4 linked regions of the Elephas maximus indicus genome follow. The protein of the gene in region 2 interacts with the protein of the main gene of each other region in a biochemical or structural test. Links are inferred from orthologs where the notes say so. Each region holds a gene or a part of one and is shown on either strand. Other genes may lie near its edges.

The links.
Region 1: the proteins of PAFAH1B1 (region 2) and DCX form a complex in vitro, tested with the Homo sapiens proteins (2 studies listed by BioGRID). The link is inferred for Elephas maximus indicus from reciprocal best matches to the Homo sapiens genes PAFAH1B1 and DCX.
Region 3: the proteins of PAFAH1B1 (region 2) and NDEL1 form a complex in vitro, tested with the Homo sapiens proteins (3 studies listed by BioGRID). The link is inferred for Elephas maximus indicus from reciprocal best matches to the Homo sapiens genes PAFAH1B1 and NDEL1.
Region 4: the proteins of PAFAH1B1 (region 2) and NUDC form a complex in vitro, tested with the Homo sapiens proteins (3 studies listed by BioGRID). The link is inferred for Elephas maximus indicus from reciprocal best matches to the Homo sapiens genes PAFAH1B1 and NUDC.

The regions. Positions count from the first base shown.
Region 1 is NC_064846.1:46,102,205-46,110,329, forward strand, and holds the start of DCX (neuronal migration protein doublecortin), read left to right. Parts: upstream 1-5,054; 5' UTR 5,055-5,073; intron 5,074-6,816; 5' UTR 6,817-6,838; coding exon 6,839-7,202; intron 7,203-8,125. UniProt on the Homo sapiens protein: Microtubule-associated protein required for initial steps of neuronal dispersion and cortex lamination during cerebral cortex development. May act by competing with the putative neuronal protein kinase DCLK1 in binding to a target protein.
Region 2 is NC_064837.1:19,204,563-19,211,995, forward strand, and holds the start of PAFAH1B1 (platelet-activating factor acetylhydrolase IB subunit beta), read right to left. Parts: upstream 3,203-7,433; 5' UTR 2,824-3,202; intron 1-2,823. UniProt on the Homo sapiens protein: Regulatory subunit (beta subunit) of the cytosolic type I platelet-activating factor (PAF) acetylhydrolase (PAF-AH (I)), an enzyme that catalyzes the hydrolyze of the acetyl group at the sn-2 position of PAF and its analogs and participates in PAF inactivation.
Region 3 is NC_064837.1:12,341,216-12,348,492, forward strand, and holds the start of NDEL1 (nuclear distribution protein nudE-like 1), read right to left. Parts: upstream 3,013-7,277; 5' UTR 2,909-3,012; intron 1-2,908. UniProt on the Homo sapiens protein: Required for organization of the cellular microtubule array and microtubule anchoring at the centrosome. May regulate microtubule organization at least in part by targeting the microtubule severing protein KATNA1 to the centrosome.
Region 4 is NC_064821.1:67,363,131-67,370,587, forward strand, and holds the start of NUDC (nuclear migration protein nudC), read left to right. Parts: upstream 1-4,443; 5' UTR 4,444-4,554; coding exon 4,555-4,635; intron 4,636-7,457. UniProt on the Homo sapiens protein: Plays a role in neurogenesis and neuronal migration. Necessary for correct formation of mitotic spindles and chromosome separation during mitosis. Necessary for cytokinesis and cell proliferation.

The sequences.
Region 1 (8,125 bases), on a different chromosome or scaffold from region 2:
ATCCACACACTCAAATGCCTTTGCATAGTCAATAAAACGCAGGTAAACATCCTTCTGGTATTCTCTGCTTTCAGCCAGGATCCATCTGACATCAGAAATGATATCCCTGGTTCCACGTCCTCTTCTGAATCTGGGCTGAATTTCTGGCAGTTCCCTGTGGATATACTGCCACAGATGCTTTTGAATGAACTTCAGCAAAATTTTAATTGTGTGTAATATTAATGATATTGTTTGATAATTTCCACATTTGGTTGGATCACCTATCTTGAGACTAGGCATAAATACGAAATACTTAGAATAGGGGAATGCATGGAGCTAAAAGGGGCTGGGGGGAAAGGGAAATGGAAATTATTACTTAAGGGGTACTGAGGTTCTGTTTAGGGGGGTGAAAACATTTAAAAATAGTGGCGATGGTTGTACAATATGGTGAATGTAATTAATGTCACCAAATTGTCCACTTAAAAATAGTTAAAATGGCAAATGTTTTGTAATATATTACCAGAAAAATTTTTAAAATTTGGGAAAAAAAGTTCATCCCTTTTGTTGCAGAATAGTATTCCATTGTATGGATATACCACAATATGTTTACCCATTCATCTCTTGATAGACATTTGGCTTTTTCCCAGTTTTTGGCTTTTACAAATGAAGCTATGATGAACATTAAAAAACAAAGACACTCTCTTCCATTTTACTGTTAAAATTTTTAAGGTTCTGTTTTTTACATTCAGGTCTTTAAAACATCTGAAATTGATCTTTGTGTATTTAATATGCAAATTTTGTGTATTTAATAAATATACATATACATGTAGTTTACAAAAAAGTTTACAGAGGGCACAAAATTATAAGGTACTAAGAATAAATCCAAAAAATGTGTGTAAGACCTTTATTGAAAAAATCAGAAAACTATATTGGAGAACATATTAAGCAGTGAATAAATGTAGGAATCTAATTTAATTTTTTTGATTTTGAAAACCCTCATTGTACCAATCCCATATATTGAATACTGCATGCTTTCCTTATTCTAGTCAATTCAACAAATGATCCAACGAGCACCTATTATATACCAGACATTGTCCTAGGCACTTAGAATACAGCATTATAAGACAAATTAAAATATTCCTGTGGGTGAATTATATGGTAAAAGAATTACATGTCATTAAAGCTGTTAAAATATACCTGCCCTCATATAACTTATATTCTACTTTGGGGAGATAGATAATAAATAGGTATATTATATAATATGTTGGGAGATGACAAGTGTTAGAGAAAGGATAGAGCAAAGGAAATTGTGAGTGATGGATTTTTGGGGGGCAGGTTGTAACTTCTAATAGAGTGGTTTGGGTTGGTTTCATTGAGAAGTTGACATTTGAGCAAAGCCTTGAAAGAAAAGGAGTTAGTCATGTGAAAATCTGGAGGATAATAAAAACTAATACTTACATCATATACACTATGTGCCATGGTCTGTTCTAAACATTTTACATGTAATAATTCATTCAATACAACTGATACAGGTACTTTTATCATCACCCCCATGTGACAGGAAACTGAGGTACAGGGAGGTTAAGTAACTCACCTAAGGTTACAAGCTGATAACTAGTAGAGTCAGAATTTAACCCAAGCAGTCTGGATCCAGAATCTGTGTTCTCACTACTACACTATTATTTGCCAAGGTCCCATTTAGGCTGATATCTCTTTCTAGGATCTCTTTTGTTCCATTGATCTTTGTCCCCGAGGCTAACACCACATTGTCTTCATTACTATAGCTTTATAATAAATTTGGGTAGGCCAAAGCTCCCCTTGCAATTCTTCTTTTTCATCATTGTCTTAGGTATTTTAGAGCTTTATGTTCTTCCATAAATGTTTTAGAATCAGTTTTTCAGGTTTCACAAAAATTTCTGTTAGAGTTTTTACTGGAAATTCTTCATACATATAGTTTCATTTGGGTAGGATTGATACCCTTACAATATTGCATCTCGATGTCAATGAGCATGGTCTGGCCCTACATTTATTCACTGCTTATTATGTTCTCCTATACAGTTTCCTTATTTTCTCAATCAAGGTCTTAGACATATTTTTTGGATTTATTCTTGTCCTTTATAGTTTTGTGTCCTCTATAAACAACATATATATGTATATTTATTTTTTTCCAAGCTCACTTCCTGTTTACCCCACTCCACCACAGATCCTGCTTTCTGTGCTTCTGGTAAGTGCCATAAACTAATGATTACTTCCTTGTTTGATGGATGGTCTTTTTTCCTTACCTGTTCTTTAAGCTGAGTTCGGTTAACCCAGATTGTAGTATATCAAGAAAAATCTAAGCCCTTCTTCTTCATGATTTTTGCAAGATGCATGTTCTTGCCCCTTTTTCCTCGATGAGTCTTTTAGCCCCTCAGGGGCAGTGATGGATATCTCATACTCTGCACTCACTGTGCCTGTATTACTGGGCACATGGTAATTGCTCAAAGGGACTTATTGCTAAATTACTCACAATAGGATTACTGGGCTTTTCCTTCAATCTCTTCATTCTATTGAGCCTGCTTCTGTGACTATCCCTTGATCTTCAACAGTGACTTCCATATTTAAAGATGCAGTTTCCCACTTATGCCTGAGATCTTCTATTCTGCCTGTAGCCCTTCTCCTCTGAGAAAGTGAGGAAGAAGATGTTGGTGAATAACTTAGAATTCTTTGAAAAGAAATGTCTTTATTTATGAGATGATCTAGTCAAGATTTTGTAAAAGCTTTTCTACAGAGTATTAGCCTATGGGATGCTCAGGGCTGGGGTAAAGGACCTATGATTTAGAAAAAAAAAAGTGGGAAGCCCTTTATACTAAATTGTCTTCTTGGAGACATGTATCATATTATAAGTATATTAAAGGCTCTGAGAAGTCTTGTGATAAAGAGAATTGTTTAACTTTGTTTAGCCCATCTTTTCTTAAAAGTTTTCTTAAAGGTTTTTGACCAAGTAAAGTTTTCACTTTACTTAGATCCACAATCAACACCCATGGAAGAAGCAGTCAAGAAATCAAAAGACACATAGTACTGGGCAAATCTGCTGCAAAAGGCTTCTTTAAAGTGTTAAAAAAGAAAGATGTCACCTTGAAGCCTAAGGTGAACCTGACTCAAGCCATGGTGTTTTCAATCGCCTCATATGCATGCAAAAGCTGGACGATGAATAAGGAAGACTGAAGAAGAATTGATGCCTTTGAATGGCATTGGTGAAGAGTTTTGAATATACCATGGCCTTCCAAAAGAACAAACTAATCTGTCTTGGAAGATGTACAGCCAGGATGCTCCTTAGAAGCAAAGATGGAGAGACTACGTCTCACATATTTGGACATGTTATTAGGAGGGATCAGTCCCTGCAGAAGAACACACTTGGCAAAGTAGAGGGTCATCGAAAAAGAGGAAGACCTTGGATAAGATGGATTGACACAGTGGCTGCAACAATGGGCTCAAGCCTAACAAGGATTGTAAGGATGGCGCAGAACCGGGCAGCGTTTCGTTCTGTTGTACATAGAGTCACTATGAGTCATAATGGGCTTGATGGCACCTAACAACAACACACTGATATGTAAGAAAAAAGAAGTTTTGAGACATTAGTCTCACTGGGCGATGAAATTGCAACTGCTAGTCTACCACTGTTTGGAATTTTACACATTTCCCTGCTGCTATTCCTTGATATTTCTCTGCCTCTGATCAGAATAACCCTGATTTATGAAGAGGTCGCCACAATGTAAGGTAGAAACACATGGAAGGGAACAAATTAGACAGATGCACTCCTTTGATGCACTTATTTAGGAACCAGGAGAGCAGTAGAAAGGTGTTGGGAGGACTTGACTGGGCATTTGAGGTTTTACTAACATATATAGCTTAGGCTTTGCTGAACCCACACTTTCCAGAGAAGGAAGACACTAATATTTTTATTTCACTTTGAGACAACTTACAGTAAGACACATGTGCAGAAATTACTTAAATATGAAGAAAGCAACAGCTAAAAAAAAATATAAAAGGGAGGGCTAATTATACTAGGAATCAGATATAAAAAATTAAGGAACAAGCTATTAGCGCTGAGCTTCCTGGAAGCCAGGTAAAAATGGAATCATGACTGTTACATATTAATTAGTTCAAGACTGTTACATATTAATTCATGTAGCCTCAATTGTAAAGATGGAATGGAGCCCACTCGCCCTTTACTTTCTCACCTTTCTCTTCTTTTTCCTGTAGTTTGGTCTGATCCAATGAGTTCAGTTTTGATGCTTCCTTGCTCTTAATAACATACTTGATAAAGAAGACAATTAGTGGCAAATAGTTTGAGGAGAGATCTATTAATGTTTTTTTTTATGCCATCAAACCTTCTTTACATAGAAAGGTCTCTGAGTTGGATTTGAACTGCCAAACTAGAGGTAAAGGCCATAGATACCATTAACCAAATTCTTACACCCAGCTGAAAGATCTTTGGAGCCCTTTTCAACCTCATTCTCCATGAAAATTTGGAACTATTTTCCACTTGTCTTACACCTTTCCCGCTCCCTCTTAGTATACTCTACTACCTCCATTTACAAAATAACCAGTTGTTGGATGAATGAGCTAAAATGTCTTAAAGAATTTGCAAATTTGATTGTTTTCTCTCAAGGGAGTGGTAGGAAGAGAGCTACAATCTTAGAATCCAGCTTTGGCTGTCTGAATCTGGCCCCCAGGCTGATTAGGCCAAGGATTTGGCCAAGTGAATTTTTCAATTCTCTAAAAGAAAGAGCTAGCACATTGCTCATTAGAGCATTCTGAACTTGCCTGTGCAATCTTTTTGCTACCCTGCAATTTCCTCTTGGTTATAAATGAAACCTTTCTAGCTGTTAATGCAGCTTGTGATTTGAAAAAAAAAGCCTGTAATTAATCATAGGAGGTTGGGGGGATTCACTAAGCCTGAGTTACATGGGAGAAGCTGGACAAGGCACTAGGACCTAGAAGGCATCTATCCACCCTGGCAGGAATTTCTTGCTTGGAGCTCAGACAACAAAGGCATAGAGAGATTGGTTTTCTTTCTCTCAGCATCTCCACCCAACCAGCAGAAAACCGGTGAGTGGGGCTTTCGAGTGATTTTCAGGCAGAATGTAACAGATGTCAAACGGGAAAAGCACAAGGCAAAGCTAGTTGTCTCTCTGTATGTGTGTCTTTCTCTCTCTCCTTTTTTTCTTTATTCAGTTGGATTTTGTCCTAAATCTCTACCTGGGATTTTCCTTTGGAAAAGTGAGTTTGACATTTCTTTGTTTTCAATGTAATGTTGATTTAAAATAATACCACCCCTGATTCTAAAGCAAAGCAAAGCAGAACGGAACTGGCATGTCTGGGGAAATGCTTGCTACTCGTCTTGAGGAGGTGGGGTCTTTTACCACTGCAGGTTGTCTGACAGAGACAATGCTGAGCTCAGCACAGGTCATGGTGACATTGGAAGAAAAGAGGGACTGAGCCTGGCAAACCTACTAGGCACCAGTCCCTCTTTATCTTCTATCCTCCTGGTTCCCTTGCAAGTATCTCCATGTGGCAGTGTGTAGCAGCTGAGCCCTGGTTGCTTTGTGAGTCCTTTTATCCCCATCTGTGAGATGCATGTTCATAGTTTGGTTCCTAGGTTGTCACTACATTTGCTGGCATTTGGGGGCTTTGATTGTATTTGGTTTCATATTTTGATTTTTTTTTTTTTTTTTTTTGGTTCAGCAGTAAAGGAAAAAGCAAAGCCTGACAAATGACCATCTTCTGCCTCAGTTAACACACCTGGGCAATAGATAAGTTTGGGGTGAATTGCCTGCTGTGAGGGCAAAATGCCTCTTCAGTCGGGGTAGAAACACAGAACAATGAAAGGTGTGCTTGCTTCTAAAGGTCTCATATGTCATTCAGGGACTCATTTGGGAGTCTTTCAACAATTAAATTATTCTATTAAGAGGCGTGGATGCAGCGCTAGGGAGGGGATGGGGCACCTAAAAAAAAGAAAAGGATTTTGTGACCAAATGGTACCAAGGGGAAAGCAGAGCTAATAACTCATTAAATAACTGATTTTTCTAATCCTTTTTTTTTTTTTTTTCTCAGCGTATTTCTATGAATGTCTGATAGCTGCACCAGCTTGGTAGGGAAAGGGTTTGATGAATAGCACAAAGAGGCTGGCTATTCCCTGGAGGCTGTCCCTTTAAACAAGAATCCTAGTTTATTCTGGGGGGAGGGGATGCACACATTAGAGTAGGAAAGAGGGTTTGGAATAAAATTAAAGCGCTCCTCTTCATAGTCATTGTCCTGAGATGCAGAGACTGCTTCCTAAGCTAGAGATGCTAACCTTGGCTAGTTCCTTCTGTTGTCTTCAAGGGGAATTTTGTCAGGCTATGAATTCATTTACAACTGTTAGTCATGTGGGCATGTGTGAGGAAACAGATGCCAGTTTTAATGCATTTAGCCTGAAGTTACAATTTGATAGGAGCCACTGTCAGTAAGTCCCAGGGTTTTAAGCTATTCCAAAATCCCTCCTCCCCTCTGCTTGGAATAGTGCCAAACGTGCCTCCCTCCCTATCTCTTACCCCCAACCCCCACAACTACCAGCACCCCCAGCCTCTCCCAGCCCCTCCTTCTTCTCTATTCAGATCAATATTCCTGCAGGTCAGTGGCAAGCAGCAGATGGGTCACGGGCTTTTTCAACCAGGTCTTTTCACAGGCAGCAGGTTGCGGATCTGGATCTGGCTAATATTTAAAATCCCTCCCCCCTCCTTTTTTCCTTACCCCTTTTTCTTTGCCTCTCTTTACCCACCCCCCACCCCAACCCCTTTCTCCAACACTCAGGTCTCTGAGGTTCCACCAAAATATGGAACTTGATTTTGGACACTTTGACGAAAGAGATAAGGCATCCAGGAACATGCGAGGCTCACGGATGAATGGGCTGCCCAGCCCCACTCACAGCGCCCACTGTAGCTTCTACCGAACCAGAACCTTGCAGGCACTGAGCAATGAGAAGAAAGCCAAGAAGGTACGTTTCTACCGCAATGGGGACCGCTACTTCAAGGGGATTGTGTACGCTGTATCCTCTGACCGTTTTCGCAGCTTCGACGCCTTGCTGGCTGACCTGACTAGATCTCTGTCCGACAACATCAACCTGCCTCAGGGAGTACGTTACATATACACCATTGATGGATCCAGGAAGATCGGAAGCATGGATGAACTGGAGGAAGGTAATTCAAGGAGTGGGTGGTTGTCCTTAGTGGGAGGTGGCACAATGATTAAGGTTCTATTTTTTTAATTTCATGGAAAGAAATTAGGAAGTATATTTGTCAAGACACCAGGTTGATGCTCAGACTTCTCATTCTACACGCCACTAGCAACCACTCTCTACGGCCTTCAGTTTCTGCCAGCTGGGGTTGAGGTGTTGGTGCTGGTGATAATGTATTGTGCTTCTCTGCTGTGGTATATAAAGAAAAATCTGAATTGTGGTGTTTACTCTAGATCTTGTTCATAATTACCCTGTGTAGCATTATTGAGGCAGACCATATAATCATTACGGGTGTAACAAAGAGGGAAGGTTGGTTGAGTTAACAGAGAGAAGGTTTTATACCCAAGTTTCCTGTGAACTGCTAAGAGACTATTTGGTGAATTGCAACTCATTGGAAATATGTACCCTAAAAGCAGGACTTCCTGGACATATTCACAGAGGATTATACTTTTAGGTAAGTGGTCACTGCTCAGCTGTTGCTTCTAAAAAGCCCACTCCAGGGTGTGTCCCTTAGGCTGAGGTCATTGAGAGAAATACCAAAGAAAGCTGTAGGTATGTCTGGTATTTTAATGAAGACCATTCCTATTAGAATAGGAACTGACTCACTGTACCCAAATCCCTTTAAGTCTGCTCTAGATTTTGGTTTTTTAACTATATTTTCTGGCAAGATTGCTGAAAATCCAGACAACCTGTGAACCTACTGGAAAATAGGGAAAATCCAACCTCTTACCAAAACTGCTCAGCTGTAAAGTCTCCTTTGTGATCATTTAGAAAATAAATCTTGGAACGCATCCTTAATATTCTACTTTAGCAAACCAATTTTATTGAGGGTGCTTTCCTACTTCCACTTTTAAATTGGTAAGTATAACATATGGGATCATTTTA
Region 2 (7,433 bases):
ACTTAGAACTAATGCTCTCTTAAGCCACCTTATCTTAAGCTCCTGATCAAGTAATAATCTACTGAAAAATCATACTTTTAGGTACACTTTTATAGCTACAGACAGCAGTGATAGGAATATGTCAGATACATAATACAGTGAACTATCATTTCTAACCTCTCTCATTCTTCGCCATATATGAGCCCTTCCACTTTTTAATCACATTAAAAAACTATGAAAATGTAAAAAAATGTAAGAATATTGACATTCATAAATGCTCATCAAAGTCACATTTATCACATGAATTTGAAATTCTTTTGAAGATGTCCTTTCACGTGAGTGCTTGACACAAGACGTTAAAGTGACCTACCCTCTCATGCTAGTACCTTACAAAAAGGCCCCTTTCAAGGCCACCCAAGAAAAAAGGTTTAAATAAACGACTTTTAATGCAAATTTTCTTATCCTTTTTTCTCATCTTTGATGCTCATTATTTAAAAATCACAAATATTTACTGTTTCAACACAAACTAAAGTAAAAGAAAACATCTGTAGCATCCTTATTAGATTTTCAAAATATTTCTATTATTATTTGTATCCAAGTATTTCTGGCATTAATTTACACTTAGTTGACTTAAACAATAAAATTAACAAGAGTGTATATATATAGCCAGAAAATAAGTGTCTGCTTTAGAGCTGGGACACTGCTTTGTACCCAAATCATTCAACACCCACCCTTGCAAAAAAGGGGGAAATTTAAAACAAGAGGATTTTAAGACTTACTACAGAGAAACGCCTTTGTTGTAGCACGAATTAGCATGAAATAACATAAGCAAGAGAAAAATGCTATTGAAAGGGCAAGCTAGCATTTCACAGCTTTTGCTCTCTTACTCCACCCAGTCTTCTCCTCTCAATGGCTGTTCACAGCATCCATAAATATTAGCCAATTTTTTTTAAAAGGAGGTGGGGGCAGCACCAAACTAGAGCCTGCTCCATCAAAATCAACATGTGCAGAAATATTTTACGTGAAAAATTGAGTTCCTTACTCTGATTCAAAAAAATACATACCAACCTTCAAATCTGTTTTAGGAGATCCCCTCCCTTTCTGAACAATCCAAACAATGATCATTTATAATAGGACATGAAAAAATATATCACTCTACAGATTACTCTTCTGCTTTAATAAAAACTGCAATTTGCAACTAACAATTATTTTGCAAAACTGTCCTAAATGACACCAATTAGGGATTAAAGGCTAGCTAAAGCCTTAGAACCAAACCGGAATTTTTTTTCAATAAAGGCTAAGTAAAAGCTTTTTATATATATAGCCAACATTATAGCACTATCACCATAACCAAGCAGGAAATTTTCCTGATAAGGGATTGGACCCTGCAGCAATCAAGCCCTGCTGCAGCAAAAAAAAAAAAAATCTAAGCAAACACTACTGTAGCAAAAGGGAAGGGATGACATCCTCACTGGTATGAAAGGCCCAAGCACTATCTCCTCCACCCTAGCCTCAAAATGAAATTCACACAAAACAATTCACCCTCCAACAGAAATAGTATTATAAAATGGCTTTTTTTTTTTTTTGCTTAATCTTTAAAACACTATGAATCTCGGGGATTGTGTACCTAAAGTAGAGATCAGAATAACAATATCTTTATTCTCTTCCAATTGCCTCGTAAGGAAAAGGGAGAGGGGGAGGGCTTGGCATGACATCGCCCATTGAGAAGGAGACCACAAATCTGGTCCTTCTCTTCAAAAGCACAATTTCTTAACCAAAGGGTTGGTATAAATTGGAGGCAAACCCCAGCCTCAAAAGACAATTTCCTACTCTCCTTCCAAGGAGTTTCTTGCTAAGTCACTGAAAAAAAAAAAAAGGCAAAATAAGAAATAAAGCCGAGGCACCTAGCGCTCTCCTATCTCGATACAGAAAACCTCCTCTCTACGTTCATGTTTAGAGAGGTAGTTAAGAGTTAAAATCTGCCTACCACCTCAAAGGCATTTTTTCTCACCTGGGAGGCTAGAGGAGGTATACGGGTACTGCGTTTCCTAAAGGTGTAGGGAGATTAGATGAAGGGGAACGGATGAGGGCCTTGAAGCTCAGTGTCAGAACGTCAAAGGGCAGCTCCCGCTTGAGGAGCCGGTGGCAGGAGGAAAATCCTGCCCGGCCGTGGACAGATACTGCGGATGGGTCGCTGGGTCGGGTCGCTCCCCCTCAGTGGGGGCCGAGGGTGGACCACCGCAGAGGGGACCAGGAAGGGGGCGGCCCACCCTCCTCAGGTCAACCCCATCCTAAGGACAGGTGGGGGACGGAACGCCTGAAAGGCCCTGTGGCCGCCAAGGCGGCGCGGGGCTGAGCCTGGTCCCCGAGCCGCCGACCGCGGATGGGGTGGGGACTGCGGCGCTCGCCTTCCGCGGCCGGGGAGGGAAGAGCCGAACCTTCTTCCCAAGATCAGAAAGCGACCTGCTCCCCACGCCCTTCCTAGCCCAGAATACTTTTCTTGCTAAGTCACCAGGGGAGGAGGACGATCTTTTCTCGGGAAGGGCTGCGGGCGGAGTCCCGGCGGCCCCGGCACCCCCGAACCCGGGCAGGAGAACAGGGCAGCGAGGCCAGCGCCCTTCCCGGCCTGTCCCCCCTCCTCCCGTGTCTCTCACTCAACGGCCGTCGCGGCCGCCATTTTGAGAGCGAGGAGAGAAGAAGAAGGAGGAGGCGGCGGCAGGGGGAGGGGAGAATGGGAGGGAGGGGACCGGCGCAGCCACATCGTCAGGCCGCCGGGCCCGGCCCGCAGCAGCCCGAGCGTGGTAGAGAAGACAGAGAGGAGGGCGCAGACCCTCGCCGCCTTACCGGAGCGCTGCACCGCCGCCTCCGCAGGGCCTCTTCCGTCCTTCACTCCCATCCACCGGCAGGGGAGGGGGGAGGGAGAGGGAAGGGAGGAAGGAGGGAGGGAGGGAAGGAGGGAGGGGGAGGATGGCGCGCTGGGCCCGGTCCCGGGGAGGGGGAGGGGAGGGGAGCGGACGGGCTCCGCTGCCGTTCCGGGGCTCGAGCGCAAGTCCGGCGCTCGCGGTTTCTCTCGCTCGCGCCCGAGCGTTCCCCTCCTTCTCTCTCTCGCTCCTAGACCCCGGGTCGCTGCTCGTTCGCTCGCTCCCTCGCTATCTCGGCCGCCGGAGTCCGCCGCCGCCCCGCCGCTCCAGCTCCGTCTGTCACAGGAGCTGCCCCAACGCCCTGACGTCACCGCGCCGCCGCCGCCGCCCCAGACCCGCCGGGAAGAGGGAGGGGAGGGGGCCGGGAGCGGAGGAGGGGCTGCGGCGCATGCGCCAGGCTCGACTATGGCCGGGCCCTGAGCGGCGCCGCCTTACGCTTAGCGGACGCTGGTGGCTGTGGCGGATGCGGCTTGGCGGCGCCCAGGGTCTGGTGGACGAGTTTGCCTACCGGGCGCTCCTTCCCTCCTCCTCACGCCACCGTAACCTTGGAAAAAGGCTCCTGGCTCCCTTTTCCTAAACCCTCCTCTGACTGTTCTGGCCCCTCACAAATTCTGGTTTTGCTCACCTCCCCGCCTTGTTTTTGCCCGCATCCGGCGCTCTTGCTGCTTCTGCCGGCCAACAGCATCCGAGGATTCCCGGCTCCGATAGACTCGGGATTAAGGAAACCCGGGCCTAAGCTGCCGGTCCTTCTACCTCCTGCCTCCGGGCCTATTTCCCAATTAGGAAAAAAAAAGAAAGGCGGGGGGGAGTGAGACTGGGTTGGCTACGGAGGAAGAGGTGTTAAGGTTAAAAGGCAGATGGATGCCTAATTGTCTTCATTGTTTTTACAGACTTCTAATTGCGAGAATTCGCTTTTAGATGTGATTCAGCTATTCTTTTCCTTAGTCACACAGACACTTCAGAGACTTCTCAAAGTCTTGAAACTGGTGGAAGCCCAAAGAAAGACCTGGAACTTCATCGTGTGTGTGTGTTTGCTAAATTGTGAGGTGAAATATTGACGACAAAAAAGTCTTGGGGATTTGTAGTCAATTTATTCCACACAGAAACACTTAATTTAAAAATTAAAAGAGACAAAGTTTGGAGTTTCTCAGTCATGGGATATTTTCTAAATGAGAGGCATCTAGTGTGATTATCTCATCATTAATTTGTAATATCCAAGGGAACTCCCTAAAACATAGGGTTATGCTTATGTTTATTGAATTTATTACTTCCCTTTGTAGTTGCCTTTTATGTTGGTAAATAATACACAGGTACTGCTTTTGAGAGGCGACAGGGTTAATGGCAGAGAGACAACTTGGGTGTGAATCCTGGATCAGCCACTTACCTAGAGTGTGACCTTGGGTAAATTACTATACCTCTCTTTGACTTTGGTTTCTCTATCTATAAAATAAGCCTAGTAACTAACTTGTAAGAATCCAGTGAGAATTAGAGAGGAGATGCTGTGTGTATAAAGTATCCCACCTTAATGGGGTCTCTGTGGTAACTCGTTTAACCAGTACTGTCGCTGTTGATACCATAACAAGTTTCCTTTTATCAAGAGAGGTTGTAAGTCTCTATTCTTGGAGGTGTTGAACAACGAATGCTCTGAAAAATTAGCAAAATTGCCCAGAAAGAATTCAGCATCACATTGACAAACACTGATTTAATACATATAGTTCTAACCCATATAAGCCTTGCGCTTACGCTTTTAGGTTCTGTCAAGTCTGTTCCAACTCAAAGCGACCCTGTATACAAAAAAACAAAACATTGCCCTGTCCTGCATCAGCCTCACAAATTGTTGCTGTATATGAGCCCACCGTTGCAGCCACTGTGTCAGTCTACCTCTTGAGGGCCTTCCTCTTTTTCACTGACCCTCTACCAGGCACGATGTCTTTCTCCAGGGACAGATCCCTCCTGACAACATGTCCAAAGTATGTGAGATACAGTCTCGTCATCCTTGCTTCTAAGGAGCATTCTGGCTGTACTTCTTTCAAGACAGATTTGTTTGTTCTTCTGGCAGTCCCTGGTATATTCAATATTCTTCGCCAACACCGTAATCCAAATACATCAATTCTTCTTTGGTCTTCCTTATTCATTGTCCAGCTTTCACATGTGTATGAGGCGATTGAAAATGCCATGGCTTGGGTCAGGTGCACCGTTGTCTTCAAAGTGACATCTTTACTTTTTAACACTTTAAAGAGCTCTTTTGCAGCAGATTTGCCAAATCTGCTCATAGACTTGTGTATATAGGAAACTTTAAAATTTGTATTATGTAATTATGCAATAAACTGAGATCAGATTTTATTTCCATAGCAATCATTAAAAAAACAATAAACTCATTTTGGAAGAAAGTATAAAAACTTTCTCCCTGGATTGCGATTTTTCTGAACAGAAATAAAACTGGATTATGTGCTTAACTTGATATGCAGAGCTGTATTATGGTTCTATGCAGTTTTTTTTATTCAGTTGCTAAGATGATAGATCCATCTTAATAAACACTTGTCTACTGAGAATGGAGAATTAGGACATCTATGCTATCAATCAAAATCCATAAAGACTTACACAGAACCTACTATATCCATCCAGGAAGCATTTAATAATGGTTATTTTAGATGATGTTTCTTGAAAAAAAATTAAGTATAAACATCCATTTTACTTACCACAGTCTAATGATCTCCCCCTTCATTTGAATTTCAAATCTTTATTTTTTTCCAGCAGACATTTTCAAAATGGAAACATTCATTCCAATTGCCGCAGTAAAATCAGTTTAAACAATTCTGCAAATAAGCTGACTGGAAGAAACTCCAAAAATATTACTATTGGAGAGAGGACAAAAATGTCTTTTAAAAGTCTCCGGAGCAAAAAAAAAAAAAAAATCTGTTTACAATGAGCACAAATGTTAAAACATTGTTTTAATTAAACTGCCCTATGTGGCATTGGGTATGTAGTTTATGCCCATAGAAGCAGTAGTCAAGAAATCAAACAGCGGGGGTCTTAAACGTTAGCAAGTGGCCATCTAAGATGCATCAATTGGTCTCAACCCACCTGGAGCAAAGGAGAATGAAGAACACCAAAGACAGGGTAATTATGAGCCCAAGAGACAGAAAGGGCCACATAAACCAGAGACTACATCAGCCTGAGACCAGAAGAACTAGATGGTGCCTGGCTACAACCGGATGACTGCCCTGACAGGTAACACAACAGAGAACCGCTGAGGGAGCAGAAGAGCAGCGGGATGCAGACCCCAGATTCTCATAAAAAGACCAGACTTAATGGTCTGACTAAGACTAGAAGGACCCCGGTAATTATGGTCCCCAGACCTTCTGTTAGCCCAAGACAGGAACCATTCCCAAAGCCAACTCTTCAGACAGGGATTGGACTGGACAATGGGATAGAAAATGATACTGGTGAAAAATGAGCTTCTTGGATCAAGTAGACACATGAGACTATGTTGGCATCTCCCATCTGGAGGGGAGATGAGAGGGCAGAGGGCGTCAGAAGCTGGCAGAACAGACACAAAAAGAGAGACTGGAGGGAAGGAGTGTGCTGTCTCATTAGGGGGAGAGCAATTAGGAGTATATAGCAAGGTGTATATAAATTTTTTTATGAGAGACTGACTAGATTTGTAAACTTTCACTTAAAGCACAATAAAAAAAGAAATGAAACAACATATTGCATTGGGCAAATCTGCTGCAAAAGACCTCTTTAGAGTGTTAGAAAGCAAAGGTGTCACTTTGAGGACTAAGGTGTACCTGACCCAAGCCATGGTATTTTCAATTGGCTCGTTTGCATGCGAAAGCTGGACGATGAATAAGGAAGACTGAAAAAGAGTCAACGCATTTGAACTATAGTGTTGGTGAAGGATATTGAATTGAATACACCATGGACTCCCGAAAGAATAAACAAATCTGCTTTGGAAGAAGTACAGCCAGAATGCTCCTTAGAAGTGAGAATGGCAAGACTGACTCTCTTTGGACATATTATTAGGAGGTACTGGTCCCTGGAGAAGGACATCGTGCTTGGTAAAATGGAAGGTCAGCAAAAAAGAGGGTTCAATGAAAAAGAGGAAGACCCTCAACAAGATGGATTGACACAGTGGCTGCAAAAATGGGCTCAAACATCGCAATTGTTGTGAGAATGGCACAGAACCCTCAGCATTTCATTCTGTTGTACATAGGGTTGCTATGAGTTGCAGCCTAACAACAATAATGACATGTAGTTTACAGGCAGATGTACATAGCTGTATGTGCATATTTGATAGGAAGCAATTAGCATATGTAAGAAGATAGCTTTCAGGCATACAAGTTGTGTGAATTGAAGTCTCATTTGAAGTCTCAGGACCCAACTGGCAAAGGACATATTAAAAGAAACTGACTCTAGGAGATTCTACCTAATTAGTTTACCTGTATTTCCCCAAAGCATGGACATGTCAATGAGAGCAGGTCCAACTGGACCAGTCATTCTTCATGTCAGCATCATGCCATCCTCATGTGT
Region 3 (7,277 bases), about 6.9 Mb from region 2:
TTACCCCTGTCCCAGTCCAGAAAGCACATCCTGGAGAAACTCCAGAACCCCAGAGGTAAAGAGAAAATCCTAAAAACTTCCATAGAGATAAAACCAGGCCATATACAAAGGATTAGGAATCAGAATAGACTTCTCAAAAATAAACTAGAAACTCACAAAGACAATGGAGCATTGCTTTTAAAATTCTGAGAGAAATTAAAACATAAAATAATACTTGTGAAGAGTTTGTTTCTTAGTTCAAGCAGATACATGAGACCAAATAAGCAGGTCCTGTCCAGAGGCAGGATGAGAAGGCAGGAAGGGACAGGAACTCGTTGAATAGACACAAGAAACCCAGGATGGAAAGGGGGAGCATGCTGTCACATTATAGGGATTGCAACTGATGTCACATAGCAATACACATATAAATTTTTGTATGAGAAATTAACTGGAGTTGTAAACTTTCACCTAAAGCACAATAAGAAAAATGAGAGGGTAAGCCCAAAAGTCCCACAGTCAAATGACAGGAGTTCCAGAAAAACAGAACAGAGACAATAAAGGGGAAGAAATTATTTTTTAAATACTAATAACCAAGAACTTTTCCCAGAATTGAATGACATGAGTATCTATATTGAAAAGGTCTCCCAAGTGTCCAGCACAATGAATGACAAAACACACACGCAAAGTACGCCCTGATAAAATTCCAGAGCCCCAGAAATGAAGAGAAAATCCTAAAAACCACCATTGAGATAAAATCCAGGCCACATATGAAGGATTAGGAATCAGAACAGACTTCTCAAAAATAGACTAGAAGCTTAAAGACAATGGAGCATTGCCTTTAAAATTCTGAGAGAAAATTTATTTCCAACTCAGTATTCTAAACCTTAGCTAGACTCTTAATAGAATAAAGGCATTTTTTTCAGTCAGAATCTGAAAAAAATTACCTCCTATGTATTGGAAGATGTGTGACACCAAAATGAGGTAGTAAATGAAGAGGAAAATGTAGGATGCAGAGCGCAGAAGATTCTAGGACGATGCTAAGGGATTTCCCAGGACAACACTATGCAGTAGGCCTAGAGAACAACCAATTCAGATTAGAGCAATAGCATGAGGCTTCAGGAAGGTGTCTGTAAGGAATTTTTTAAAAAAGGAAAAAATATAGAAACTGATAGATCTGATCATATTGAGAGCCATCAGTGATATATACATATGTAAAGACTAAGCAAATGAAAAACTGAGGCAATTATCAACTCCAGGGAAAACAAAGAGTTGTCAAAGAAAGGAAACAATAATAATATACTATATAACTCAGAAGATAACTTTTACATAGTCATAACAACATACATAATGTAAATGTGAATATCGATTTAACCAAAATTTGTGATATAAATATATTAGAAGGATAGAGAAGCAATAATGTGGAGATAGGGTGGAGTAAGAGTGCTACATTCATAGGTTTCATAATAAGAAGTCAATAAATTATTAATGAAAGATAATGACTAAAATAAAAAAATAGCCATATAGGCAACTCACCTGGAAATAGAAGTAACTGTAAGAATTGAAAGTGTTTCTCTCTGGTAGGGAGAACGTTGAAGAGGGGAGATAGGGCAAGGAATAGCTATTTTTCATTGAAAGCTTTGTGTTGCTTTAATAAAAGTAGATACTAAATTTTAAATAATAAAATAGTATGACTTTTCCTAGGGGAATCCAGACAAATGAATCAAAACTATAAATGAACATATAACCTTTCATCCAGCAATTCAAGTTCTAAGAATTTATTCTAAGGAAATAATGGAACTAGTGCAAAGATATAAAGTAAAGCAGATGGTCAGTGAAAACAGAAAACCCTCAGTCAGATGGATTGACACAATACCCGTAACAATCATACCAACATTCGTAAAGATGGCGCGGGACCGGGCAGCATTTCATTCTGTTACTTGTAATGTCTCCGTGAGTCAGTGCAGACTTGACGACAACTAACAATTCACTACAGCATTGTTTATTATTATAGCAACAAGTTGAAATGATTAAATACCCATCAATAGATAGCAGACTGATTTAATAATCCATGGTACAGCCACACAATGGAACAAAACACAGCTGTTAAGAAGGACAAGGTAAATGCCCATGAATTAACATGAGATGATATTCAAGAGATATTATTAAGTGGAAAAAGGTTTCAGGACAGTAAGTAAACTTAGACATAAAAAAAAAAAAAACTAGTTCTAAAAGTGTAGAAGTCTATGCACCAATGTATTAATAGCAGCAATCTCTGGGGATGGGATTATGTGACGATTTTCATTTTCTCTGCATTGTTTGATTTTTTCCAGCTGTCATATATTACCAGGAAAAAATACACCTAGTTCCATTTAGAAAATAAAAGTAACCCCAAACCCTGAAGAATACAATCCTAAAGTTCATGAAACACTTTCACAATCATTGCCCCACTTCGGTATCACAGAAAATAGGGACATTTTGCCATTTTGTAGAGGAGAAACCAGGCTCAGTGGAGAAGCCCCTAATGTGGTCAGCTCAGTTCTATTTCAGTGCGTCACACTGAAGGTGTCCAGTCAGCACCAGATAAACCTGTCTCAACACACGGAGCTCCCTCTGCAATCCAGAAAAGCACTACCTGGCCGGTCCAGGAAACAGAAAACCAAAGCAAGGGGATCCGAATCTTTGGGAGATGTGGGCAGACCAGGTGGTTTCAGAATGCCACCAAAGCAAACCCCTTGTTTCACCCCCACGAGGACATAACTAACATCGCAGGGCAAAAACTAACCTCAGCCTTCGACCATCCCACCCCCACAAAAGCAGAGGGGGTCCTCAGACCACCAGGAGCCTCCTTCCCTGGTGTCTCTTAGGCTGGCCTTCACCTGGCCCAGAACTTCTCCAATGAGACCTCCCACTCCCCATCATCCCAGTGTACCTGGTTCTGTGTCCCAGGTGTCCGCTGATTGCATCGACGGCAGCACACAGGGGCCCACCCTGGACCAGATAAAACAAAGTAGCAGTCAACAGGAAGGGTGAAGATCACCATCTGACAAAAGAGGCGCAAGAACAGGAAGTGGGTTACGACCAGGAAGACTGGGGCCACCCTGCCATCTAGAAGCGAGGCAACCCTGTCAGACTTATTGCTCAGCTGAGGTTGAGCAAGTCTTCAGTGTTTGGGGAGGAAAAAAAAAAAAGCCCTAACTCCTTAGCCGGTGTCCTTGGGTGGTGCAAACGGTTAACACACTCAGCTGCTAACAGAAAGGTTGGAGGTTCAAGTCCCCCCAGAGGCGCATGAATCTATTCCCAAAAAATCAGCTGTTGATAACTCTGTGGAGGTATCTCTACTCTGACACATATGGGGTCGCCATGAGTTCAGATTGACTCAATGGCAACTGGTGTGTGTGTGAACTTCTTAGCCAGGCCTTCAAGGTCCCCTGTTTCCACTGCAGGCATGTAGCCCACTGCTCTTCTAGACAAATGTTCTGTCCTCTCCCCATCCCACCCCCACTTTCCTGCTTCTGTCCCTGTATTTGGAGGGTGCAGGCAAGGGGAAGAAAAAAAGCTTATTGAGGGTAATTGATAAGCAGACATCACCCTTGTTTTTATCCCCAAGGGGGCCCAGCTCAGAACTAGGCATAGTACATGATGTGGTACATAACAGCATGAACTTCAAGTCAGATAGACTTGACCTGCCGCTTTTAGTTGTGAGACCAAGAGCAAGCTGCTTGTCATCCCTGAGTCTCATTTTCCCCGTCTATAAAATGGAGATAATACCAGATGATACCTCTTAGCATTGTTGTAGGACTTAAATGAGAAAATGTGTGTAATTGGCTTGGTACAGATCCAATTAGTCCCTTTTAGCTGTTAGTGGTTGTCCCCTGCCTTTCCAAATTCGACCCACTTTTAAGTCTTTACCAGATCAGAAAACTTTAGCCTGAAGTCACCTAACACTTCTCACCTCTCCAAAAACTGTAGGTTTCATCTGTTAATGAGTCTCATCCTGGTAGCATAGTGATTAAAGCACTCGGTTCCTAACCAAAAGGTCTTCGGTTTGAACCCACCACCAGGTCCATAGGAGAAAGATGTGGCAGTCTGTTTCTGCAAAGATTTACAGCCTTGGAAACCCTATGGAGCAGTTCTGCTCTGTCCTATAGTGTCTCTGTGAGTCAGAATTGACTCAATGGCAGTGGGTTTAGCTTTAGAGAAGAAGCACCATTGTTAAGAGCTGCTACCGAGGTCCTTCATTAATCATTACTTTGCCATGATGATGTTTTTTTCTCCCCAAGATCACTCTGTGAGGGTAGGGACTGCACAGGTTTCCCTCTGTGTCCCCAGGAGCCTCCAGCAGAGCACCGGAAGTTAGTCCATAAATATCCGTGGACTTCAGAGATAGTAAGGAAACAAAGCACGCAGGTAAACTCAGCTGCGGAAGCCACAGCCGTGGGGCTGATGTTTTGCACGCTGTGCAAATGCTTTGCATGAGGGCAGTGCCAGGGCCAGAGAACCCTTAGTTGTTCTCAGCTGCTCTGAAAATTCCCTAATACCCACAGGGATGTGGAATGCGGGAGTGTGCTAAAAGCCACAGCTCTATCTGCCTGGAAGTCCTGCTCCCACCCATCCCACACATCTCTAGAAGGAAGCTTGCTGAGCCTGCAGCATCCTTACCCAGTTTCCCTTGAGTAGATTCCTACTCATGGCAACCCCATGTGTCCCCAAGGAGAACTGTACTCCATAAGGTTTTCAATGGCAGATTTTTAGGAAGAAGATTGTCCAGTCTTTCTTCTGAGGTATTTCTGGATGGGCTCAAACCTCCAAACTTTTGGTTAGCAGCCCAGTGCATTACCTATTTGCACCACCCAGGGACTCCATAGCATCCTTACATCTCCCTTGAAAGCAGCCCTGAGGTTAGCCACCTGCTGATAGGAGACCTATCCTCCTGGTTCTCTGTCCTCACCTTCCTGACCCTCTTCTTAGACTATGGACATTCTGATAGCTAGGATGGCACCCTCTTCTCTCTCTCTCTCTTTTTTTTTTTAAAAATTGTGGTGAAAACATACACCCCAAAATGTCCACCAAAACAACAACTTCCACATTTGCAACTCGGTGACACTGATTACATTTTTCATGTTCTGCCACCGTTATCGCTATCCTCATCCAAAACATTCCACCATCATTAACATAAATTCATTGCCCCCTGTCTTAGTTATCTAGCACTGCTACAACAGAAACACCCCAAGTGGATGACTTTAAACAGAAATCTGCTTTCTCGCAGTTAAGGAAGCTAGCAGTCCAAGTTCAGGTCACCAGCTCCAGGGGAAGGCTTTCCCTCTGTGTCGGCTCAGTGGAAAGATCCTTGTCATTTTTCAGTTTCTCTTTCTTTGCTTCTTGGAGATCTCATATGGCATGGCGTCTGTCTTCCTCCATCTGTGCTTGCCTGCCTAGTTGCTTGCTCAATCTGCTCTTTCATATCTCAGGACATTGAATTAAGACACATCCTATACTAATACTTTCTCCTTAACATAACAAAGAAAACTCATTCCCAAATGGAACTATATCCACAAGTATGTTGTTGTTGTTAGTTGCTGTCCAGTCAGTTTGGACTCATAGCGACCCTGTGTACAACAGAACAAAACACTGCCTGGTCCTGTGTTATCTTCACAATCGTTGTTATGCTTGAGTCCATTATCGCAACCACTGTGTCAATCCATCTCATTGGAGGTCTTCCTCTATTTCGCTGACCCACTACGTTACCAAGCATGATGCCCTTCTGCAGGGACTGTTCCCTCCTGATAACATGTCCAAAGTATGTGAGATCCTTGCTTCTAAGGAGCGTTCTGATTGTACTTCTTCCAGGACAGATATGTTCACTCTTTTGGCAGTCCATGGTATATTCAATATTCTTTGCCACAAGCATACGGATTAGAATTTACAGCATATATTTTGAGGGACACAACTCAACCCATAACAGCCCCCAAAACAAAAACTCCCTCTTTCCCCTTAGTAACCATTAATAATCTTTGGTTTCTAGATATCTGCTTATTTCATATAAATGAGATTAGGTACAATTTGTCCTTTTGCAGCTGACTTATTTGGTTCAGGATAACATTTTCAAAGGTTCATCCATGTTGTGGCATACGTCAGAACTTCCTCTCTCTTTACGGCTGCGTAATAGTCCTTTGTACGTATACTATCACATTTTGCTTATCCATTCACCTGTTGATGTCCCTTTCTGTTGTTTCCACCTTTTGGTAACTGCGAAAAGTGTTACGATGAACACTGGTGTGCAGGTTTTTGTTTGCATTCCTGCCTTCACTTCTTCTGGATACATACTTAGGACTGGGATTGCTGGGTTACGTGGTAATTCTACGCTCAGCTTTTTGAGGAACCACCAAACTGTTTTTTCACAGTGGTTGCACAATTTTACATTCCCACCAACAATAGATGAGGGTTCCAGTTTCTCCACAACCTTGTCAACACTTCTTGTTTTCCTTTTTTTTTTTCTAATGAGGGTGAGATGAAATCCATTATGGTTTTGATTTGCATTTCCCTAGTGGCTAATGATGTCGAGCATCTTTTCATGTGCTTGTTGATCATTTAGAAACCCTGGTGGCATAGTGGTTAAGAGCTACGGCTGCTAACCAAAAGGTCAGCAGTTTGAATCCACCAGGTGCTCTTTGGAAACCCTACGGGGCAGTTCTACTCTGTCCTGTAGGGTCACTATGAGTCGGAATTGACTTGACGGCAATGGGTTTTTTGTGGGGGTTGATCTTTTGAATATCCTCTTTAGTGAACTGCCTGTTCAAGTTCTTTGCCCATTTTTTTATTGGGTTGCTTGTCTTTTTGTTGTTAAGTTGTAGCAGTTTTACATACATTTTGGATGTTTGGCCAAGATGGAAACTGAGCCCTGGTGGCAGAGTGGTTAAGCACCTGACTGCTAACTGAAAGGTCAGCAGTTTGAATCCACAAGTGGCTCCACAGGAGAAAGATGTGGCAGTCTGTTTCTGTAAAGATTATTGCTTTGGAAGGCCTATGGGGCAGTTCCACTCTGTCCTGTAGTATAGGGTCGCTATGAGTCAGAATCAACTAGACAGCAATGGATTTGGTTTTTAGGCTAAGATGAAATCTTCTTAAGAACGGCCTCACAATCTTATGCCCTTTGACTTACATCCCACCAGCCTGCCCACCTAATTCCATTACATCCCACCGGCCTGCCCACCTAATTCCATGCTTCTCCTGGTGTACCCCATGCCTCGTTGAGGCTTACTATGTGCCAAGTACCAAACCAAGTATTTAAGTACAATATC
Region 4 (7,457 bases), on a different chromosome or scaffold from region 2:
TCACTCTCGGAGATCACATTATAGCCATACAATAGACAGGTCTATAAAATGAATGCCCTGAGGCATATACACCTCAGAACAATCAACTATCTGTGAGATCTAAAGGGCAGCATTTGCCCAAAAGCAAAGTTCAGAAGGAAGTAGGGGCAGGAAAGCTGGGTGGATGGACACGGAGAAGCCAGGGAGGAAGTGGGGAGAGTACTGACACATTCAGGGGTTTGCAACCGATGCCACAAGACAAGCTGTGTACAAATTGTTGAATGGGAAACTAATTCGCTCTGTAAGCTTTCACCTAAGCAACAATAAAATGTCCAAATACAAAGACAGAAAGAAAACCCTGTGGAGCACAGTTCTACTCTGACACACATGGGGTCACCATGTATTGAAATTGACTCAACAGTTTTTTTTCTTTTTTCCTTTTTCTGAAGGAAAAGTTAATGATAATATTCTCTCGTCTGTACAGTACTTTACATTTCTAAAGCACTTTCACAATTATCTCAGTTAGTCCTCACATAACAATGGGGTTAAGGTGTGACTATTCAAGCAGGAGCAACAATCATCATTCTAATAATTGTAATGACTGCCACTTATTGAGCACCTGTGCCAGGCACGGGGCTGCATATTATCTGTAAAATTAAAGAGAGACCAATGAGATAAGGTGTTTGAAAATGCTTTACAGTCCCATGACCAGGGTGCACATGTTTGCTCTTGGTGTGTACAGAGGCCTCAGACTGGTGGAGGTGCGGCTGGGAGATCTGGAGTGCAGAGGGCCTGGCTTTAGGCTTGGAACTGGGAGATAGCCAGCACTAGGCAACTTCTCATTCCTGGAACGCGTCATGCACCTTCATGCCTCAAAGATCTTGTTCATGCTGTTCCTCCTGCCTGGGATGCCTTTCCCTTGCCCAGTCTGTTTGGTAAGCTCCTGGTCACCCTTCTTGGTCTAACTCAGTGTTACTGTCCACAGCCTTCCCGCCTTTCCCTCTCCACCTCTCCAGCAGCATAAATTGCTCCATCTCTGAGTTCCCAGGTCATCTAATCCACACTCCTAATATAGCATTTAGCTCACAGTGCTTGTTATGCATTGAATTGTGTTCCCAAAAAAATGTGTCAGCTTGCCTAGGCCATGAGTCCCAGTATTGTGTGGTTGTCCACCATTTTGGAATCTGATGTGATTATCCTGTGTGTTGTATAAATCCTAACCTTTACGATGTGAATGAGGAAGCATTAGAGGCAGTTATGTTAATAAGGTAAGACAGAATCTACAGGATTATGCTGTATCTTGAGTCAATCTCTTTTGAGATATAAAACAGAGAAGCTAGCAAAGAGGAGTGAGACTTCATACCATCCAGAAAGAAGTGCCAGGAGCAGCACATGTTCTTTGGACCTGGGGTCCCTGCGCAAAGAAGCTCCTGGACCAGGGGAAGATTGATGACAAGGAACTTCTCCCAGAACTGACAGAGAGAGAAAGCCTTCCTGGGGAGCTGGAGCCCGAATTCAGACTTCTAGCCTCGTAGACTGTGAGAGAATAAATTTGTTTGTTGAAGTCATCCAATTGTGGTATTTCTGTTACAGCAGCACTAGATAATTAAGACAGTGCTGTACTTACACACTTAACTGCTGGTGGTAGTGTTCAAACATTGATATGGTCAGAGGTCATTAGAGGAGGCTGACTGGTCATCTAGACGCCATCTTGGGCAAAGTTTATCATCTAGGTGAATTCTTCTGGGTCTAAGATCAGGGCTGGTTTCTCAGGGAGGAGTCACATAAAACAGTGATGGGAATTGACTTATAAAGTCAGAATGCCAATTTAGGGAGGCAGAACTCTAAGACGAAATGGGTAAGTGTGTCGGCTCTGGGGCCAGGCTGCCTGGGTTTGGATCCTGGCTCTCCCTTCCAGATATGTGACCTTGAGCACGTGACCTCTCTGTCCCTATATCTCACCCTCTAAATGGGAATGATAAGAGCATTTACATCATAGGAGCATTGTAAGCAAAAGTCATGGACATTTAATCTATATATCAGGATTAATAAAGACTTCGCAGAGGAAGTAGCATTTGGACTGAGACCTGATGGATAATAATGAGTTGGCTGGCAAAGGCTTAGGAATCAGGACAGGACATTTTAGGAACTGAAAGAAGCCATTGAAGAGGGAGCCTGGTGAGTAAAGGTGGGCTTGGGACAAAATGAGACTGGCGAGGTAGCCAGGGCCCTGATGGTGTTGCTCCTTAGAGGTCGTGCTTGAGAGTTTGGAATTAATCCTGAATGCTATGGCTATCCACTAAAGGGCTAATTTTAAGCAAGGGAGTAACAAGATACGTTTTACATCTTAGAAGGATTGCTCTGGCTGCTGGGTGGGGGATGGATTATTAAAAGGGACAAGAAAAGTAGTAAGGGGACCAGTTAGGAAGCCACAGGAGTAGCTGTCCAAATAAGAGATGTACTGGCTTAGGCTGATGTGGCAGCAGCAGAGATGGTGAGAAGGCAACAGAATCAGGATGTATTTTGGGGAGAGACAGACAGTACTAATAAATGAGTCTAGAACTTGGCTGGAGTCTCTGAGTGACACAAATGGTTAAGTGCTCAACTACTAACCAAAAGGTTGGTGGTTCGAACCTACCCAGAGGCACCTTGGAAGAAAGGCCTGGCAATCCGCTTCAGAAAAGTCAGTCTTGAAAACCCTAGGGAGCACAATTCTACTCTGGAATACATAGGGTCACCATTTTAGTTTAGCATTGGGCTTGAGAAAATGGGTGGAGGTTTTGCCTTTGGCAAATGAGTGCTTGAATGGGGCACTTAAGTCAATGGGGAAGATTTTGGGAAGAATTAATTTGTTGTGTCTATCCAATGGCATACAACAACATGAACAAGGCCCGCTGCCGTGAAGTCAAATCCAACTCATACCAACCCTATAGCACAGACTACAACTGCCCCATAGGGTTTCCAAGGAGCGGCTGGTGGATTTGAACTGCCGGCCTTTTGCTTAGCAGTCGTAGTTATAAACCACTGCACCACCAAGGCTCCACAACAACAAAGGGGGAGTATTAATGTTGGCCATGTTAGTTCTGAGATACCTACTAACTCCAATGGAGGTGTCCAGGTGGCAGTCCAATAGACGAGCCTGGAGCTCACAAGAGGTTTGGGTCAGAGATGTCAATTTGGGCTTCATTAGCATGTAGTTGGTAATTATAACCATTGCATTCAGTGAGATCACCTAAGGAGAGAGTATAGATAAGAATAGAGGAGAGAGCAGTGGCTAGAACCTCCAATATTTACAAGTCTGCGCAGCACAAGACACTGAGAGAGTGTTAGAGAGGTGGAAAGAAAACCAGGTCCCTGTGGTGACACAGAAGCCTAAAGAAAAAAAGAATTTTCAGAAGAAAGAAGGGGTCAACTGTGTCAAATGCAGCTGAGAGGTCAAGTAAGATAATAGTGGTCCATTGACTTTGACAATGTGTAGGCCATCTGATCTTCATCAAACCTCTTAAGAACAGACTAATTAGAATAAGTTGAAGACCAATGGGAGTTGAGGAAGTAGAGAAACAAGTATAGCAAACTTCTAAAAAAGCTTTGCTGTGAATAAGAGCTAAAAAGTGGGGAGGTAACTGGATCAGAAACTCAGTGCACAGACTATTAAAAAAAAGATACTAAAGCATGTTTGTAAATTGATGGGAATGATCCAAAAGAAATTTGTGATGCAGGAGATTAAAAAAAAAAAAAAAAGGATAATTGCAGGGTTAGGATCCCTGAGAAGACTAAGATGGTGAAATTCATTGCATTAGTAGAGGGACTGGCCTTAGGTGACTGGGACCTGTCCCTCACATTAACAGGAGTCAAAGTAGACTAAAGGGCCGGTTCCATGATCACGGAGTCCGAAATGAAAAGGTAGAACCACTTATTAAAAAATCATTAAGAATTTCAAGACTGTGCCAGCAGAGCATCAAACCAAGTGCGAGGCTTTTCAGACCTGGGACCCTGTGCGGCTTTGGCTGCTCATGAAGCCAGCCTTGGTCAAGTATGTGATGATGACAGAAGTAGGCTGTCGTTTGGGCAAGTTTCTTTTTTCTGGGTCTCAATTGCCTCATGGAAGGGTTGGAAGAGATGATAAGGGCACTTTCATCTCAGCTCCACCGTTCTACAAGTAGGGAACAAGGCAAAGGACCAAAGTTTGTGCCTTTTTCACTTCCAACCCCCCCATATTTGAGCCCAAGGCTTTCTGGAAGGCTCCAAAGCATCTGGTGACCATAGCAACTCACGCCAAGCTCCCCAACTCTGGGCTCCGCCCACCACTTCTTGGATTCGCTTATTGATAGGCTCAGAAAGCCGACCAATGGTCGGCGAAGCGGGCTGCTTCATGCGCAGTCAATGGCCGAGAGAGCGGAGGAAGGCGGGAAGGGAAGGGGAGAAGGCGGGCCGGGGCGTGTGGCAAGTGCGTATTTCCTGCTCCGCTGCGGAAGGCGGAGTGGAGCCGTTGGGCCCGAGGCGACCAGGAGGAGCGTGGATCGGCGGGCGACAGTGCTGAGCGCGGATTTCTTAGCGCGGAAAGGGACAGGCGCGATGGGAGGGGAGCAGGAAGAGGAGCGGTTCGACGGCATGCTGCTGGCCATGGCGCAGCAGCACGAGGGCGGCGTGCAGGAGGTAACCGCCCGCGCGGCGTCGGCCCGGCCTGGTCCGGCGGTGCTGGCCCATTCAGGCGGCCCTAGCCACGCTCTCTCAGCCCTTCTCTGCCCTCGAGGCCCGAGAGCTTCCTCCGGGCCTCACTCGCTTCCGGGACCCCCACCCTCCGACATTCCCACCGCTCTTGAGCTTCCGGTCTGGCCTCCCAGCCAGCGTGTCCCACTCCTCGGGTGTCAATCCCGGCCCCATGGCGCCCTTCAGTAACTTCTAACAAAGTAAACGTGGCATTCCTGACCCGACCCTTTCAGATTCTTCCCCCAGAGCCTTGGTATATGCCCTTGGTCTTACACATGCTTCCAGCCCCGGTACCCCATAGGTGGCTGCTTCCAGAGAGCATCCCTTACGACGAGCCATGCCAGACTCTCATTTGCATCTACCACAACTTGTAGTGAGTCGATGAGTGTGTGCGGGGTGTGTGTGGAGCGATGATGTTAGCACGTGGTTTTTCAGGGTGTGAATGGGGGAGTAGGAGGCTTGTTCTCGCAGTTGATTTCCACTACCTGGGAAGCTTGGGACCGTCCCACCTTTCCAAGCCGCATTTTTCTTATCTCTTAAAATGGAGCTGCAAATCCCTGTTTTCCTGAATCGTTGTAGGAGAGTGGTATCTTGAAGAGCAGTGAGGAGTTATAAATAATCAGGCTTGTTCATTCAGCCAGTGTTTGGTGAATAACGTCTGTCAGACACTCACTGGAGCCCTGGTGGCACAGTGCTTAAAAGCTCAGCTGCTAACCAAAAGGTCAGCAGTTCGTATCTACCAGCTGCTTCTTGGAAACCCTATGGGGGCAGTTCTACTCTGTCCTGTAGGGTCACGATGGGTCTGAATCCACTCTGTGAATGAGTTTTTTTTTTTTTTTTTAAGACACTTTTTTTGGACTCATTGGGCTGGGTCCCGGGGATACGGAGGTGAGCAGAAACTTGTCCTTGCCCTGAAAGAGCTTACAAAGAGCTTTTTTAAAAAGCATAAAGCATGCTGAGCGACCCCGCAATAATAACATGTAGTCTGTGAATGGTAAGGATCAACTAGTGTAGATTCTTGAGTTGGTTTTTTGAAGCAGAAATCTGGAAAGTTAGAGGTAGAACAGTTGTTAAAATCAGTCCAAAGCTTCATTTTATAAATAAAGAAATGGAGACCCAGTGACTCCTGACCTCCGCGAGACCAGACTCCGTAGGCCGTTGTACTTTCCACAGTCCTTTTGCTGATTTTCTTCCTCAGTGGGGACAAGTTTTCATTGACCTATCCATTTCCATTCTTTCACTCAGGTGCCTGTTGTGACCAAGGGCTCCCAAGCCCTTTGAGGTGTGGGGGGTGTTACTAATTTGCAAGTGTGAAAAGGCTCCCCCTCCCCCTGTTCCCCTAAATTGTTGACACAATACCAGGTTTGAGAGAGTTCATTTTTGAGAGAATTGATAACATGTCTACCACCCACCCACTGCCCTCAAGTATGAGTATGAGATAACATGTCTAGAAGTTTCAGTTCCCTATTGAAATTATTGAGGTAAATTCTAGCATCAGATTTAGAACCCTTGGGCGAGTAAAATGGCTTGAATGTGCTAACTCTAGATCACCATTAGATCTGTTCATTCAACAAATATTTTACTGAGCATATACTCTGAGCCTGATATGGTGCCAGACATTGGGGATGTAGACAGGCTAAGTTAGTCGTTCCTGCTGTTAGGGGTTCATCCTTTAGCAGTGGGTCTGTTGTGCTGTGCCATTTACTGCTAAGGGCCTTACCTTCATTACCTCATTTATTCCTCACAAGGTGCCCAGAAATGGGTCCTGCTGCTATTCCTGTTTTACAGAGTTAAGAAACTTCCCCAAGGTCACACAGCTGATAAGTATCAGTCTGAAACTAAAACCCACGTGTCTTAGTCATCTAGTGCTGCTATGACAGAAATATCACACCAGGGTGGCTTTAACAAAGAGAAGTTTATTCTCTCACAGTCCAGTAGGCTAGAAGTCTGAATTCAGGGCACCAGCTCCAGGGGAAGGGTTTCTCTCTCTTTCGGCTCTGGACGAAGGTCCTTGTCATCAGCCTTCCCTTGGCCAGGGGCATCTCAGCACAGGAACCTCAGGTCCAAAGGATGCGCACTGCTCCTGGCACTGCATTCTTGGTGGTATGAGGTCGCCCTGTCTCTCTGCTTGCTTCTCTCTTTTATATCTCAAAAGAGATTGGCTTAAGACACTGTTTAATCTTGTAGACCTTGTCAGTATAACTACCACAAATACATCTTATTACATCATAGTGATAGAATTTACAACGTAGAAATCACATCAGAAGATAAAATGATAGACAATCATACAACCATATAAGGGAATCATGACCTAGCCAAGTCGACAGATATTTTTGGGGGGACATAATTCAATCCATGACACCATGCTCTTAATCACCTGGCTACACTGGTAACCCAACCAGAGTCAGCTGGTCTTGACCTTCTTTTAAGTGGTTTCATTTGCGCCCCCCCGTGCCCCCCCCCCCCCCCCCCCGCCCCAGTTCTGCCCTGGTAGTTTAGCCAGCACTACTGATGGGTTTTTTTTTATTTTTCTGGAGAGGAAGGTTGGGCCCAGACATTTTAAGCTCTGGATACAGAGAACTGAATGTTTCACATCCTCAGGCTACATGTAAACACACACAAGAAGTGAGACCTCCCAGATGGTCCAAAGTTAGAGTAAGCTTCCTGGTGGGAGTGACTAAGGGAACTGGAGGAGGGAGATGTCTCAGTTGAGAGGCTCCAAGGTGAGAGAGTTAAGTCCCAAGCTCCCTCCTAGACTAAGGAAGTTG